2 linked regions of the Arabidopsis thaliana genome follow. The protein of the gene in region 2 binds, or shares a complex with, the protein of the main gene of each other region. Each region holds a gene or a part of one and is shown on either strand. Other genes may lie near its edges. A codon is read from its position in the direction of its gene.

Evidence for each region. Proteins that work in one complex are often made in the same cells at the same time.
Region 1: the proteins of CKL2 (region 2) and SCAB1 are in contact, whole or in part, in a crystal structure (PDB 8Y47), measured with the Arabidopsis thaliana proteins. Residues at the interface, in NP_177415.1 of Arabidopsis thaliana: Asp366 (codon at 6,041), Ala368 (codon at 6,047), Ile369 (codon at 6,050), Ser370 (codon at 6,053), Lys371 (codon at 6,056), Asp372 (codon at 6,059), Val373 (codon at 6,062), Val374 (codon at 6,065), Leu375 (codon at 6,249), Phe380 (codon at 6,264); in NP_001323795.1 of Arabidopsis thaliana: Ser326, Gly327, Lys330, Asn385, Val386, Val387, Thr389, Gln390, Asp395, Cys432, Val434, Arg435, Gly436, Gly437, Gly438, Asn439, Ala440, Ala441, Gln443, Ala444, Tyr446, Ser454, Val456, Ala458, Phe459, Glu460, Pro486.

Annotation. Positions count from the first base shown.
Region 1 is NC_003071.7:11,403,074-11,411,097, reverse strand, and holds SCAB1 (plectin-like protein), read left to right. Parts: upstream 1-2,676; 5' UTR 2,677-2,898; intron 2,899-3,213; exon of another isoform or gene 3,214-3,275; intron 3,276-3,349; 5' UTR 3,350-3,354; coding exon 3,355-3,636; intron 3,637-3,949; coding exon 3,950-4,078; intron 4,079-4,295; coding exon 4,296-4,388; intron 4,389-4,828; coding exon 4,829-4,969; intron 4,970-5,066; coding exon 5,067-5,135; intron 5,136-5,256; coding exon 5,257-5,340; intron 5,341-5,484; coding exon 5,485-5,665; intron 5,666-5,885; coding exon 5,886-6,002; intron 6,003-6,182; coding exon 6,183-6,241; intron 6,242-6,326; coding exon 6,327-6,461; intron 6,462-6,557; coding exon 6,558-6,707; intron 6,708-6,790; coding exon 6,791-6,841; 3' UTR 6,842-7,119; downstream 7,120-8,024. Other genes in the region: AT2G26780 (ARM repeat superfamily protein), read right to left, coding at 351-440, 531-698, 788-973; CYCB1;4 (Cyclin B1;4), read right to left, coding at 7,893-8,024. UniProt on the Arabidopsis thaliana protein: Plant-specific actin binding protein that bundles and stabilizes microfilaments (MFs). Has no nucleation or capping activity. Regulates MF reorganization during stomatal closure. The binding to F-actin is insensitive to Ca(2+) and pH.
Region 2 is NC_003070.9:27,369,655-27,377,773, forward strand, and holds CKL2 (casein kinase 1-like protein 2), read left to right. Parts: upstream 1-2,542; 5' UTR 2,543-2,898; coding exon 2,899-2,974; intron 2,975-3,061; coding exon 3,062-3,102; intron 3,103-3,926; coding exon 3,927-3,996; intron 3,997-4,089; coding exon 4,090-4,238; intron 4,239-4,315; coding exon 4,316-4,411; intron 4,412-4,491; coding exon 4,492-4,559; intron 4,560-4,909; coding exon 4,910-4,971; intron 4,972-5,054; coding exon 5,055-5,118; intron 5,119-5,204; coding exon 5,205-5,289; intron 5,290-5,365; coding exon 5,366-5,492; intron 5,493-5,600; coding exon 5,601-5,683; intron 5,684-5,756; coding exon 5,757-5,820; intron 5,821-5,930; coding exon 5,931-6,067; intron 6,068-6,248; coding exon 6,249-6,524; 3' UTR 6,525-7,076; downstream 7,077-8,119. Other genes in the region: AT1G72700 (ATPase E1-E2 type family protein / haloacid dehalogenase-like hydrolase family protein), read left to right, coding at 93-302, 433-558, 688-786, 865-1,056, 1,151-1,837; AT1G72720 (hypothetical protein (DUF3511)), read right to left, coding at 7,249-7,632. UniProt on the Arabidopsis thaliana protein: Casein kinases are operationally defined by their preferential utilization of acidic proteins such as caseins as substrates. It can phosphorylate a large number of proteins.

The DNA.
Region 1 (8,024 bases), on a different chromosome or scaffold from region 2:
TTTTTCAAAATTGTCATCTATCCAAGTGAAACCACTAATAAAGCTGCCAATGGTTTTCTCCGGCATTTCATAATAGTCTAGAAATTACCAGATATTGTTCCCTACATAAAACATATAGGACTACCACTACATGTAGCACTAACCACTAGAACATGAGAAACCCATCAAATAGAGAGAAAAATGTAAAAGGATCATCACACAAACAACGGCATGAAGAAAAAATAAAGAAAACATATTGTCCTCGTCATCTAAGTAATGCGTAACAATTCGAACAACGAAAGAAAAAATGTATAATAGCAGTCATAAAATAAATATCCAAATCCACACTAAAGGAGGAGCTGAGAGACAACCTTAATAGCAATTCTCAAAATAATCTCTTGATGCTGCTTAGGAAGCTTTGAAACATTCTCCAGTGTATTAGGTGCAATTTCCTCCCTTTCCTATTAAAACTTAAACAAAAATCAGTCCTCTCATTTCCAAAGTATTGACAAGCAAACGCAAATTCCAACAACTATTAAGATGAAGCAAACCTTTGCAGGAGCTCGTTCAAAAGCCATCTCAACATAGACAATAGCAAAGTTCCTAACCATAGGAGCAGCAGCAGGATCTGTGTACAATTTCCATAAAGCCAATAAAGGCAAACCAATTTCATGCTGATGCTTCACTCTCTTGTTAACATGACTCAATATCTCAAGAACCTGAAAAATGAAATCAACACACACTAAGAATCAATATGAAATCGTCAAACACTAAATTCAGAGGAAGAGCTCGTAAATCTCTGACTTGCCTTGTTGCGAACAACGGGAGATTGAGAAGAAAGAGAAGATATGGTAAGAGGAAGGAGGTTAGAGACTAGGGATTCGAGCTTGGAGTCGTCGCAAAGAGCGAGTCTCGTCAGCATCCGATCGAGCATTTCCTCCAACTCAGCGTCCGATTTGGAAATTAACGAAGACGAAGATGAAGAACCTTCCATAGCTAATCTCAGAAATTTGTTGAGTTGCAGAGATTTATCAGTGCTTCTTTGCTTCTTCTTTGGTTCTTCTCTTCTTATGCTTTTCCTTAGTCTCTCCCGTCTTGGCGGACAAGAGAACTATGGCTGGTCTAAACGACGTCGTGTTGTATCCCATTAGGCATATTGGGCCTCTAATCCACAGCCCATCCTAGCCCGCATTTGCCATTTTTCTCACAAGTCCTTTGGTTTTTTAGGCAACTTCTTGTTTTCAGCAATTTTATTGTTTGGCCGTGTTTGTCAGAGAAAATAACCCACCACTTGTGTGAGTTGAATGTCTCAAACAGACTAGTAGACTTCAATGATATTTATGGCAATGATTGAGTGGTATGGCCGAGAAACTAACAGGTATCATGCTGATGGGTTTGATAACCAACCAATTGAAATCCACTTTCACTCCTCTATTCAGGTTTGAGGCAATATCTTCATTGATTAAATCACAACCATTCCAGATTAAGCTTATATGTGGTAAGGTAACAATTTATTAAAAAAATTGTTCTTCTTCATGAGGACAGAGCCCGTAAAAGAGTTAGATAAGGTGGCTAACAACAATATACCAAAGGACTTTGTATATATGCAAGACTTTGTATAGGGCAAAAATATGCAAGATTTTGTTAACATGAAAGGTTTTTAGAGGTGATGCAAGATTTTGACATTTTTTGTTTGTACTATTTTTGTTGGATGATCCTATCTTTTTTTTTTTAATTTATCAAAAAGAAAAGCCTAATTTAGGATATTGTATGATTTAATTAAAATAGTTGTGGCTTTACTCGTGATTGGTGATCTTGTGATTGGTGGGTTTTGAGAAGTTTTGCCTCGCTTCTTGTCCTTCTTTTACAATTTTGTCGTAATCTGATTGTTTTTTGAAGGATTCTATCTAGACGTTAAGTGACGAATTGGTGGTCATCGTCGTATCTGGAATGGTGTTTGTGTTTCTTTTAGTGGTCTTGCATGTCGGGTTATGATATCCTTGGTTCTCGAGAGATTGGCTCTCAACGTGATAGGAGGTGGTAAATGTTATTTTGGATTTGATCAATCGTACTTGCAGGTGTGTTAAAAGAAGTGGAGTTTCTGCTTTGTTGGATCTCTTATTTTTTTAAGATTTTGTCTTGTTAATATGGATCTTAGTTTGTACTATCGTCCTTTTTCGAGATTGGTTTGATATTTTCTGCATTATAATTTGAGTTTACTTCATCTTCTTTATTTAGGATCTAGATTCCGAAGAATTCTCTTTTTCCGCCAGCTTATGTTTTTTTGGGAACTTATAGTTTATCCGCCAATTTACGTTTTTTTTGTTTGGGCATTATATTTTACGTCTTTCACAACAAGATTCTATAATTTCTTTATGACAAAAAAAAAAATAAAAAGTAAAAAAAAATAAATCCCCATGACCAAAAAAAGTTTTGGCTTTACCAAATTTGTGTAAGAAAGGTCTAAGTTTCACACCAAACCACTCTTATTAGTGTCATCATTTTGATTACTTTCCCTTTTAAAAAACAATTAAAAAGAATATCGTGGCAGTTAAACACGAAACAGAACCCGTGACCGCTCTGTGATTTTTAAGTTTCAGACAACAACAGTCCGACAGCGACACACATCAACCGGAGTTGAAAATTATGCAACAATTTATTACCTAAACCAGAAAAACTTTTAAACAAAACTAAATTAAAAAAAAAAGAAAAAAAGAAAAAAGACAGTGTTTCCACCAAAGCCACAATTTTTTCACGGTCTTTGCTTTTTAGTAAAGCTAATGCTTACGACTCTCTCAAACTTCACTTTTTGCCTTCTCCTCAGACCAAATCTTCTTCTTCTTCCTTCTCTGTTCTCGACGACCTTCTCAAATTCGATCTCAACTCAAAACATTTGTCTGATCCATTAATCGGATTCAGGTGAGAAGTGTTTAGCTTTGTTCTCTTGAAAATCTCCGACGTTGTTCGTGATTATTGCAGTATTTTGTGTTCTGATTTTCGATTTCAAGTTCTTAAAATTTGACTTTCAATTTCTATCTTCTTTGAAATTTGTTACTAAATTGGTATATGGGTAGTTGTTGTTAGCTCTTTTGTTTGGTAATCTAGGGTTTTGACATCCATCAATTCTTTATCTCTGTAGCTATAAAATGTTTTTAAATGTGTGTTGAATCCATTGTTATTTCCAACATTGGCGTAGGTACTGAAAAAAACAATGTTTTGTTTTTGTTGTTTTAGATTTTTGTGAAGATTCAACAACAGATCTGTGAGTCCATTGGAGTATATTACTATTCATAGTGGTTAGACATCTACTAGCATTTTCTGTCTTTTATTTTGTTTTTGTCTAAGCATTTTTGGTTTTGTTTATAAACAGATACAATGACAAGGGTTACACGCGATTTTCGGGATTCATTACAGAGAGATGGTGTTCCTGCAGTATCAGCAGATGTGAAATTTGCTTCAAGTAGATTTCCTAATTATAGAATTGGAGCTAATGATCAAATATTTGATGTTAAAGACGATCCTAAAGTGATGTCCATGAAAGAGGTTGTTGCGCGTGAGACAGCGCAGCTTATGGACCAGCAGAAACGTTTGTCTGTTCGTGACCTCGCTCATAAATTTGAGAAGGGTTTGGCTGCAGCTGCTAAGCTATCTGAGGAGGTCTGATATTATTCTCTTTTTGTTGAGGTCTTATAGATGAAATGTGTCTCTTGTATTGTTACTATCTTTGGTTACTATGTAATGAGTTGATTTGCACATTTATGTTAGTTTTTGTGTTGATTGAGTCTACTAAATAGGATTTAATAAGAGGGATTTTAATTCGGTGATAACCTTACTTTTTGTTAGCAAAGAATTTTTTGTTGTTATAAATACAGAAATAGGGGATCAAGAAGGCTAATCTAGGTTGCTAAAGTGAAAATATGATATGATTGAAAAAAAAATTTAAGGCTAATTTGGTTGGGAACGAATGCAGGCAAAACTCAAAGAAGCAACTTCGTTGGAGAAACATGTTCTTTTAAAGAAACTTCGAGATGCATTGGAGTCTCTAAGAGGACGTGTGGCAGGTAGAAACAAGGATGATGTAGAGGAAGCCATTGCCATGGTTAGTCTTTTACTCTTTTATAGTCTTTTAGTCATCATATTTAGCTCCGTTCCTTTACATGGTGATATATATCGCCTCTAGCCTTTTCTACAAACCGAAATGTGTTTTTTTCCATTTTCAGTTCTGCGTTCTTAAATTGTCTCACAATCCCCATTACCAACATTTTTCCCTTCCACCTCTATATCTTAAGTATGTTTGGAATTTTGAATTCTGCTAGGTTGAAGCTCTAGCTGTTCAGTTGACTCAGCGAGAAGGAGAGCTATTCATAGAAAAAGCGGAAGTGAAAAAGCTAGCGTCTTTTTTAAAGCAGGTAAAGTGTGCCTTTGAGACAGTGACAATATTTTCTTTTCTCGTGTCACTTGAGGTGAATAGTTAGGAGACGTCTATGTCATTTCACTTGAAACAACCAAGTCCTCTAAAATAGCAAATACGTTTTCGTCCACGGCTTAATACCATGCAGTTTTTGTTAGTCCTTGAGCTAACCAGATGATTAAGAGAGAGTCTGTCCTTTTTGTTTTCATTTGAGTAGTTTATATTCTATTACTTTTGACAAAGAACTATGATGTAGTTTCTTTACAGACATAATCTTTCACTTACTATTCTTGATTCTTTTTCTTATCTTGCTTGGGACATTTGTATTAGTCTTCTGTTGTCGGTTGTAAATTAGTGGTTACTAGATGGGCTAGCTTGAAAAAGATGCAGATGTGTTCTAATAATCTTGCTGATTAGTGGGTATGATTTTTTAACTAGGCCTCAGAGGATGCTAAGAAACTTGTCGACGAGGAAAGAGCGTTTGCACGTGCTGAGATTGAAAGTGCAAGAGCAGCTGTACAAAGAGTTGAAGAAGCCCTGCGAGAACATGAACAGATGTCTCGTGCCTCTGGGAAACAAGTATTTTAGTGATGGCTTCTATCATAATCTTGTAAATGTCCTATGCTTATAACATTGATTCGTGTTAACAGAGTATTGTTATAATTTATCGTATCAGGACATGGAAGATCTAATGAAGGAAGTTCAAGAAGCTAGGCGGATTAAAATGCTGCATCAACCAAGCAGGGTAGGTAGATGAAAGATGGTTTATCTCTTGGGTTTAAATGGCTTTATCTGTCTGTCTAAGTCGATGCTTCTTTAGTATCTTATGTTGTTTTTAAAAAGTCAAATCATGTGTATTGTTTTAGGTAATGGATATGGAATATGAGCTTCGAGCACTAAGAAATCAGCTTGCAGAGAAATCAAAACATTTTCTTCAACTACAAAAGAAGGTTAGTTGGATCCATATTCCATACACATATATATTCTATTTAGTGCATTCCAGGTCCTTTTGATGTCTTAACTTCCACATTTGTGACTGTATGCGGTTGACAAATAGTGGATTCTGATACTATATACATTTTTCTATGATTCAGCTCGCAATGTGCAGAAAGAGCGAGGAAAATATATCCCTTGTATATGAAATAGATGGCACTGAAGCTCTAGGATCTTGTTTGCGAGTTAGACCTTGCTCCAATGATGCACCTGATCTTTCCAAGTGTACGATACAATGGTACCGTTCATCTTCAGATGGCTCCAAGAAGGAGCTTATATCAGGTCCACTCACCTTTCTCATTGTTTTCTTTCTCTTATTATATTTGAGTTTTAAAATGTTCTGTTCTGTGAGCTAGTCGATTACAAATCAGATTGTTTCTTCTAACTAATGATTTTGGAATTGTGAACAATATATTTCCAAAGGCTGGTGTAAATAGGGCAAAATCAAGTTTAACATTGTTCCCATTGAGGAAAATGTTTCCTAACTATGTTCCTATCTCAGGTGCCACAAAATCAGTTTACGCTCCCGAGCCTTTTGACGTTGGACGAGTCTTGCATGCAGATATCATCTACGATGGCCATTCGCTTTCGTTATCCACAGTGGGAAAGATTGATCCAGGTTCATTGTTATGTTATTTACTGTAAAAGGTTATTGTTTATGTCAACATGATCAAATGGTTTGTGTAGGTTCTGTCACTTAGTAGATATTACTTAACTTTGACAAATCAACAAACACGGTCCTGATTTTCGTCATTACTAGATGATTTATCAAACATAACAAAGTCTTGATTTGGTGCAGCTGCTGGATTGGGTAGCTATGTCGAGGCATTAGTACGGAAACACGATGTTGATTTCAATGTAAGGTTTCTCTAACACTCGGAATTAGTATTTATATATTTGGTGCTTGTATGTATATTATATTTCCCCTTATTGTAATTTACAGGTAGTTGTGACCCAAATGAGTGGGGAAGACCATACATCAGAATCTATCCACTTGTTTCATGTTGGTAAAATGAGGATAAAACTTTGCAAGGGAAAGACAGTGATTGCAAAAGAGTACTACTCTAGTGCAATGCAGGTAAGGATACTACTTTACCCCGAGAAAATTGTCATATTTTTAGTGTTACACGGTGAGATCTATAATATCATAATCTTTGATGATCATATTGAGTAGCTATGTGGAGTGAGAGGAGGTGGAAATGCTGCAGCTCAGGCATTGTATTGGCAGGCGAAGAAAGGAGTGTCATTTGTGATAGCTTTTGAGTCTGAGAGAGAAAGAAACGCTGCGATCATGCTTGCACGAAGATTTGCTTGTGATTGTAATGTAAGTATAACTAAGATGGAGTTAGAAACTTTGGTTTTTGTAGAGAGAGGTGTTGATGTAAGTATGAAACTGATGTGTTGCAGGTGACACTTGCTGGTCCAGAAGACAGAACAGAGACGGGTCAAAGCCCTTGAAGAACGGCTCTTACCTAAGTTGTGATTTTTAGTATCCGTAAGAGCTTATTTGTTTTGTAGTTTATATAGGTTTTAGGCATTTGTTTGAATTGTACTTGTATTGTGTGTAAAAATATCGAGCAGTGAAGTAAGAGGTGATGGTGAATCTATATGTAACGGGTGGCTTGTGTTTATTCATTTGTTTTGATCTTACTTGCCCTTGAGGTAATATAACGGATTGCTTGTTTTGGACTGGATCCCAAAGCATACAATATATTGCAAGTGAATCACAGCCAAAATCCTGCAACAAACCCGAAAATCCATGATCGTCGATCATTCTCACTAACCGATCTCACAGAGATTCCAATGTTAAAACCAAACAACAACAAAAAGATAGAACAAAAGAGAGAGATCATCACAACTACATGATCAACAACTAAAGTAGACTAGGGTTTTGTTCCTTCATGCACAAGAAACAGTTAAGTTGTCATGCGAAGGAAGAAGAGCAAACCACATTGGTCCACCGTCCACCTCATCACTCTTCCTTCTGCGAATCCAGCTGCCCTTAGATGCATATCAAATTTAACATGTGACAAAGTCACAAAGTTTTGATATAGTGGAACTACACAAAAGTAGTGTTATCGCAATTGTCTCATCAACAAAGCCAACACTAACCCTCAAAATCAAAAAGCTCGATTTAGAGGTTTGAAACGCAGTTTCGAAGGAAGAGAGGAAAAAAACGGGAATGAATATATATCCAAGTGATTTATGGTTTTTAGATTCGTCAATAAACGAATTTATGTCTTTAGATTAGTAACCAAAGATTTCATTTTAACTAGAAGATATCTGTGACAAAAAGAGTTAAAAATTCCAAAACGTAATTTGAGGAATCCAAGGAAACTGAAGATAAATGAAACCACACTTAAAAACTTGTTCATGGTTAACATCATTATCTTTGACGGGATCATACAGAGGATCAATGTAAAAACCAAAAAAAGAAAAAAGAAAGAAAGAACACAAAGAGATCATGACAGCTACATGATCAACAAAAGCAGACTAGGGTTTTGTTTCTTCATGCACAAGAAACAGAGAAGTCGTCAAGCGAAGGAAGAAGAGCAACTTCAGCGTTTTCTGAGACAGAGTATTTCTTGAACACTGCTATTAGCTTACTCTCTGAAGCCGAGTCCCTTAACTTCATCAGCAT
Region 2 (8,119 bases):
GAGTTGCATGATGCATATTGCTAAAGTATGAATTTAAAGTTCCTTCAACTAAAATTTCGAACCTCACTCCTATATTTCTACTGATGTGTTAGGTTGTGAAAGAGAACATTTTGAATCAACTCACAAAAGCTGTACAAATGGTGAAGCTTGAGAAGGATCCGCATGCTGCATTTGCTTTGATTATTGACGGGAAAACTCTAACTTATGCCTTGGAGGATGATATGAAGTATCAATTCTTGGCTTTGGCAGTGGATTGTGCATCAGTCATTTGCTGTCGAGTGTCTCCCAAGCAGAAGGCTTTGGTATGTATATATATATATATCCTTCCCTTATTCGTTTCATCGCATTCCTCCTTGACTATGCAACTCCCGAAACTTCATACAAAAAAAAGAAAATCTAAATTTATCTATTTTGCTCTTTCCCAAATTCAAGGTTGTTAGGTTGGTTAAAGAGGGAACTGGAAAAACCACATTGGCAATAGGTGATGGTGCAAATGATGTTGGGATGATTCAAGAAGCTGACATTGGTGTAGGAATTAGTGGGGTTGAAGGAATGCAGGTTCAGTTTTTCTCTCAGCACCATGCCTTTTCTGTTTTTCAAGCCATGTTTTCTGTTTCTTGACTAGCAGAAAGTTCATTGAAAATCAAACCATGTCGACATTTTTGCTGATCCTTCTTACTTTTGCAGGCTGTTATGGCTAGTGACTTTTCGATTGCCCAGTTCCGGTTTCTGGAACGATTACTCGTCGTCCACGGACACTGGTGCTACAAAAGGATAGCTCAGATGGTAATATGTAGTTCTTTTGGCCATTTTAGTTACTCTTACATTTAGTTTGTTTCTAACCTTATGTTGTTCTACATCCAGATTTGCTATTTCTTCTACAAAAACATAGCATTTGGTCTCACTCTCTTCTACTTTGAGGCTTTCACCGGGTTTTCCGGGCAATCAGTATACAATGACTACTACTTGTTGCTCTTCAATGTTGTCCTTACCTCATTGCCAGTAATCGCCCTTGGTGTCTTTGAACAGGATGTTTCTTCCGAGATCTGCTTACAGGTAAGCTTTATAAATCTCCCTTCTTGAAAAGCTATTTCGAATCTCTGCTGATCATCGACAATAATCTGTGTTTTTTTCGCTTGTGCTTGTGTAGTTCCCAGCTTTATACCAACAAGGCACAAAGAACCTCTTCTTTGATTGGTCAAGAATACTTGGATGGATGTGCAATGGCGTCTATGCATCTCTTGTCATATTCTTCCTCAACATCGGAATCATTTACTCTCAAGCTTTCAGAGACAATGGCCAAACAGCTGACATGGATGCTGTTGGCACAACCATGTTCACTTGCATAATCTGGGCAGCTAATGTTCAAATCGCGTTAACCATGTCCCATTTCACTTGGATCCAACACGTTTTGATATGGGGAAGCATCGGTATGTGGTATCTCTTTGTGGCTATCTACAGTATGATGCCTCCGAGTTATTCTGGAAACATTTACAGGATTCTTGATGAGATTCTTGCTCCTGCACCTATCTACTGGATGGCTACATTGTTGGTCACAGTGGCTGCAGTTCTTCCTTACGTTGCTCACATTGCATTCCAGAGATTCTTGAATCCATTGGATCATCATATCATCCAAGAGATCAAATACTACGGAAGAGATATTGAAGATGCGAGATTGTGGACCCGAGAGCGTACAAAAGCCCGAGAAAAGACAAAGATCGGATTCACAGCTAGAGTCGATGCGAAAATCAGGCATCTAAGGTCGAAACTGAACAAGAAACAGTCAAATCTCTCACATTTTTCAGCTCAAGACGCAATGTCACCTAGATCATTGTAGCCTTGTATAGTGTTTGTTGTTTTTCTACAGGTCCAATTCTCTGATGCATCAGACTTTGGAGACAGGTCTTGAAGCTAATTTTGTTGAGAGTTTATAATAGAGTGAGATCATGTAAAGAGTAGCCTCTGATGTTTTTTCTACTTGTTGGGTTCGAATTTTTCTTTATCTTGTACACATTATACTTAGGTTTTGTGTATACTTAGGACAGAATGCAAAAAAACATAACAAAGAATCTTCCTTCTGTGCCTCTTCTGTGCCTCTTCTGTGCCTCTAATCATTTAATTGGTCATTTATATAAATTTGTTTATACAAAATCTGTTAAGTGAATCTTGACTTTAGAAAAAAAGAGAGAAATAACTCTCAATAGCAGTGATTTGTAAAATGATTTTCATTTCAACTAGAAATAACTCTCAATTTCATTTCATAAGTTTCCACAAAGAAATATTATAGAAATTGTTGCTTTAGTAAATGGTTTCGTATCCACCAATTGGCATTTAGGTAATTAGGTAATGAAATCTCCAACTTATTTGCGTGTCTGTTACTTTCTAGTTTCTAGTGACTTTAGAGATGAAGTGGTTGGCGAATAAATTAACTTACTTTATACTAATATATTAATTTTAATTTAATTAATTATTCTGGGCCGGGTTTTGCCCAATATGGGTTCAGTACGGCCCAACAACTCCGCAATTATTATTATTTTTCCATGGAGAAAATAAAAAAAGAAAAGAATAATAAGAGAGATTTGGTTAAAATGAGAGTGTAAGCAATTCTGAGTCTATCCCTTCCCTTTTGGGATATTTTCGCCGCGTGGATTGATATGACGACTCTCTTTCGCCGGAAGTCAATCGGAATCCGCGACAACTTCTTCCTTCAATCCCTTTGATTTTTTTTTGGCTCTACTTATCCCAAACCCTTCAAATCTTCAGGTCCAATCTCTTCTTCTATTTGTTTTTTAATTAAAAAAATCCGGCGAAAGGTGAAGCTCTTGGATTCGAGTGGTGGCTAGTAATCGATTTCGGTAGTTTAGAAGTAGTTTATAGGTTTTATCAGCTTTCGATTTGATGGAGCCGCGAGTCGGAAACAAGTTTCGGCTCGGAAGGAAGATCGGCGGTGGATCATTCGGAGAGATCTATCTTGGTATCCTCTTTATTCTGATTCACCTCTCGTTTGTGGTCTCTGTGACTGCGATGATTATATAAGTATTTGTTTTAACATGGTTTTTAGGTACCAATATCCAGACGAATGAAGAAGTGGCTATTAAACTTGTAAGTAATTCCTACTCAAAAAGTGGAACTTTATCATTTTCAGTGTTTAATTGAAGTACATAGAATTTAGTATTGCAATGTAAAGTCTGTACGTATATCTTCATTAAATAAAAGATTGAATTTTCTCGGAAAGTGGGAAGAAAGCTTTGATTGTTGTGAGTTGTGACTTATGTGTAGAAAGACTTCTGTTTATTGCTTGGTCTTTCTTAGCTTGTAGCTTCTCCTTTTACATGTTAAAATCGATCGGAATGAAAACGTTGGTGTACTGTGTTTAGACGAAAAAGGAATAGAATTTTATTTAACAGGCTACACACTGCTTTTTCTACTCTGATCATGCGATTGTTGCAATTTAGTTGAGTTCTTCCTTAAGCTTCCTCTTGATTATCTATGACTGTTTTCATTCAGTATTCAACATGATCAAACCAATATTTCTATAGTTTAAATCTGGGTTCAACCTGACTTTTCCGTAAGAACTGAGATCTATTATTGATTCTTGAGCAAATAGTCTAATTAATGCTGAATCAATTCTTAGAGTCCACGACAAAACTACCTGCAACTGGTGGGACCAACCTATTGAAAATTTTGTTGTGGCCTACAACTGGAGAATTATGAGGCTGACAGCTATACATATTACTGTATTGAACATTGGTTGTTTCTTTTTTCTGTTACCTGTTTGTACTGGTTCTGACTGTTGAGTATGTTAAATCAAATCCTCATGCTTGTTTCACATTTCTTTTTTTGCTCTGAAATGTAACAGATTTATCGTAGTTTGGCTACTGTGTTTGTTGTATATGTTCTGACGGCATCTTTTCTTCTTGTTTCAGGAAAATGTGAAAACTAAGCATCCTCAGTTGCTGTATGAATCAAAGTTGTACAAAGTATTACAAGGAGGAAGTATGGATCTAGTTCTGTACTTGTTTACATTTGTAGTTTGTGATGTCTTTTTTCTTATCCAAGAGGGGTTGCTTTCCTTTCCTTGATTTCTAGCTGGCGTTCCAAACGTTAAATGGTATGGTGTTGAAGGGGACTATAATGTCCTCGTGATAGACTTGTTGGGGCCTAGCCTTGAAGATCTATTCAATTTCTGTAGTAGGAAACTCTCACTAAAGACTGTACTAATGCTTGCAGATCAAATGGTAGGATCCCGTCTATAGCCTGAAAATTGTGTTCTCATGTTGAATAAACGTTTAGGATATCTTTGTTCCTCTTTCAGATCAATCGCATTGAGTTTGTACATCAGAAGTCATTTCTACATCGGGACATCAAGCCTGACAACTTTCTGATGGGTCTTGGAAGGCGTGCAAATCAGGTAGCTGTTGAAAAGGGCTGTTAGTAAAATTTGTTTATTCTCCAGAATTATTTGTTCAACGATTTGTTGACTGAATACAGGTATACGTCATCGACTTTGGTCTGGCAAAGAAGTACAGAGACTCAAATCATCAGCATATTCCATATAGGTTGGTTATAGCCCTATGATTTTCTTTGGGTCTGTTATTTATTTACGCCTATGTAGACTTTTTAAAAAAAAAAATCTTTTACTAGCTTGTGTGACTGTTGTCTAACTTAAAATTCTTCTATGTAACACATCCCTGTAAAAGGGTGGAGTCATCTTTATCCTCAGGATATATGGCTATTCAGGATAACTGTCGTTTTAGTATTGACTCAGGATATATAGCTTATTTCCCCTTTTTTTACGAAGATGCATTAGTATATGAGAAAATCATTTTAATGTATTGCTAGGAAGTATGATTGCAGTATATGATGTTTCTTCATATCAATTATAATTCTAATATTTTGTGTATCACAGGGAAAACAAAAACTTGACTGGAACTGCTAGATACGCTAGCATGAACACTCACCTTGGCATTGGTAATACCAGTTCATTTAGTTTCTAACTTTCTAATTATTTTAAAGAACGTAATTCTGGATAGGTAATTGCTATTTTATTACAGAACAAAGTCGTAGAGATGATTTGGAGTCACTTGGATTCGTTCTCATGTACTTCTTAAAAGGAAGGTATGTACCTCTCTTCCGTACCTGTTGGCATGTTGCTATTGGTTCTTTTTCGGCGGCATTTGGCTTACTTATCCAATGTAATGCAGTCTTCCTTGGCAAGGACTGAAAGCTGGCAATAAGAAGCAAAAGTATGAGAAAATCAGTGAAAAGAAAGTATCGACATCTATTGAGGTAAAATAATGTTCTGATACCTGTGTTGGTGACACCTATGGTTTAATACTGATTAAATATTCTATTCTTCTTTTAGGCTTTATGCCGAGGTTATCCATCTGAATTTGCATCTTATTTCCATTATTGCCGTTCTCTGAGATTTGACGACAAGCCAGACTATGCCTACCTGAAACGGCTTTTCCGCGACCTGTTTATTCGTGAAGGTTTGGTCCCCTCAATCACTTATGTTAATTCTAGTCTTGTGAAGCAAATATAACTTGGACCAGTTAATCAACATGTTAATTTGAGTTTGCGTCATCTGCTTATATTAGGCTTCCAGTTTGATTATGTATTTGATTGGACGATCTTGAAGTATCAGCAATCACAGATTTCTACTCCTCCTCCTCGTCATCATGTAAGAATCAGTTTTTCTTTTCCGAATGTCATCGTCCTACTTAAACTCTGCTGAATATGTACCTTTCTTCCAGGGTCCTGTAGTTGGGCCAAGCTCTGCCCTCCCCCCTGCCATTACCAGTGCTGAGAGGCCATCAGGTAGTTCCATCTATTTCGAGTAGTTTTTTTCCAAATTTCATTACGCATTTGGCTATGTTACTCTGTTCTATAGGGGCATGGTTTTCACCCATCTGATGTGTTCTTTGCAGGTGGCGACGAAGCTAGACCTTCTGGCTGGTCATCAGGAATCCCTAGACGAAATTCTGGACAAATTTTTAACTCAGGAAGCTTAGCTAAACAAAAAGCACCAGTTTCAAGTGATCCTGCAATATCTAAAGATGTAGTGGTGAGTACATAAAATTACCCCCCATGTTACAGGTATCCAATTCTTTAGCTGCTGATTTGAAGAAATAAACATAAGGTTCTGTATTGCTTGTATACACAAGGATTGGCAGCTGAATTTTAGTTTCTTGGATTCTTGTTCTTTGTATTAATGGTAACTGAGCTGTTTGTTTTTCTTGTGACAGTTATCAAGCTCTAGCTTTCTCCGCGCAACTGGGTCATCAAGACGTGCTGCTGTATCCAGTAGTCGCGAAGCTGCAGTTCTGGGAACTGATTCTGAGCCATCAAACCCTCAAATCGTTGAAGCTGGATCAGGCTCCAATTCAAAGATCCCTGTTAGTCGAAACTCACCTATCGTCTCATCTGAGATCAACAAGCTATCATCACCTTCAAGGGCGACTACTTCAGTCATGAAGAACTATGAGGCTAATCTTAAAGGGATCGAGAGTCTGCATTTTTAGTCGTTGGGGCCAGTGAATGATCTTGAAACCCCGGGACAAGTGTAAATTAAAAGACAAAGATGACCTCTCTTAGGCCCTCCTCATGTTTTACGTGCATTTGTGTTTACAGGGAGGGAGACTTGTGCCTCTAAGCACACACTCTAATAACATAGATAAGGAAAAGACTCTGAAGAAGTGATTTTCAGAGAAAGACAAACTCAAAAGAGGGCGAGACTAAAAAGTCAAAAGACTTTTAACACTTTTATTCCCCATTTGGTTTTACACTGTTTATGTTGTGTTTGTCTTGTTTGGTACTGCAACAGCTAAAATCGTTTGTGCTTCAAAAAGGTTTTAAGTTCTTAGAACTATTCCTCGGGCTGCAAAAAAACGTACAAAAGAAAGAAGGTTTTATATTGAGTATCTTCTCATATGGTGTGGGTAAAAATGGTCATTTTTGTTGGTAAAAATAGTGAAATGAGAGCTATAATTCATGGACAGATGCAATAATTGTTCTGGTCTTCCTTAAAGAGGATCTGAGAGTTGCATCTTCTGGTTATGTCATACTTCATCATGTCTACGAATGAATCAATGAAGTATATTGTAAATGCTAAATCGTATTTATCGTAGCTTAAGTTGTTACAGCAATCATCATACTTAGAAGGGTACCCTACTTAGAACAAGAATAAAAACAGACAAGTTCAATGGGGGAAACAAGAGAAGAAGATTGGGAAGATTTGTGGTTGGATCACCACAAACCATAGACAGCGTTTGAACAAGTCTCCTTGAACCATTTGAAGCTTTTCTTCATAGATCCTTTCACTCTCCCTTCAACACCATACACATTATAAGAAGCCACTCTCTTCTTCCTCTGAATCTCTGCCTCACACAAACCCTTAAATCCTTTCTTCTTCACCTTATTGCTTCTCTTCGATTTATTGTTGGAGTCGTCTCTCACAATTGTTGGATTCTGGTATGCATTATAAGTTGATGTACTGTAAGATCTCATCATCACTGGTGGCTGCTGGTTTGTTGGTTCTGATTCTGATTTTTCTCCATGACTGAAGCAATGGTACTTGTTGGTGATGCTGCTACTTCTGGTCTCTTCTCTGCATGACTTAGATCTGAACATCTTCACTTGCAAACAAACCTCAAAAAAAGATTGCTCTGCTTTTTTAGGAAGAAAAAGGAGATAGTTGCTTTTGGGTTTTATCTCCAACCTCTTTCTCTTCTGCTTTTTGTCACTTGCGAGTTTTTGACATATTTATAGAATGAGACATCACCTCTATATCTTGTTCAATATTTAGTGCAGTAATCACAACCTCAATACTGTATCTATTTAGTTACTCGAAGTTTTTTTTGTTTGTATATTGTTTTAGATGAGATTTGTTTGTTACATTTAAAAAAAAAACATTACTAGCGATTAGTTATCACTGTACTTAGTACAGTTTTGCATATTTATTTTTCCTAAGAAAATTTTGTAAGATCTCATGTCCTTTGGATTTACACATGGCCGCTTCTCACTTCATGAATTCGAGGGAAATTTTTGGGGCTCGTCCCCAACCTTATGTAGTATATATTTATTGTAAATTCAAGAGTAGAAAACTAGAAAATCAACA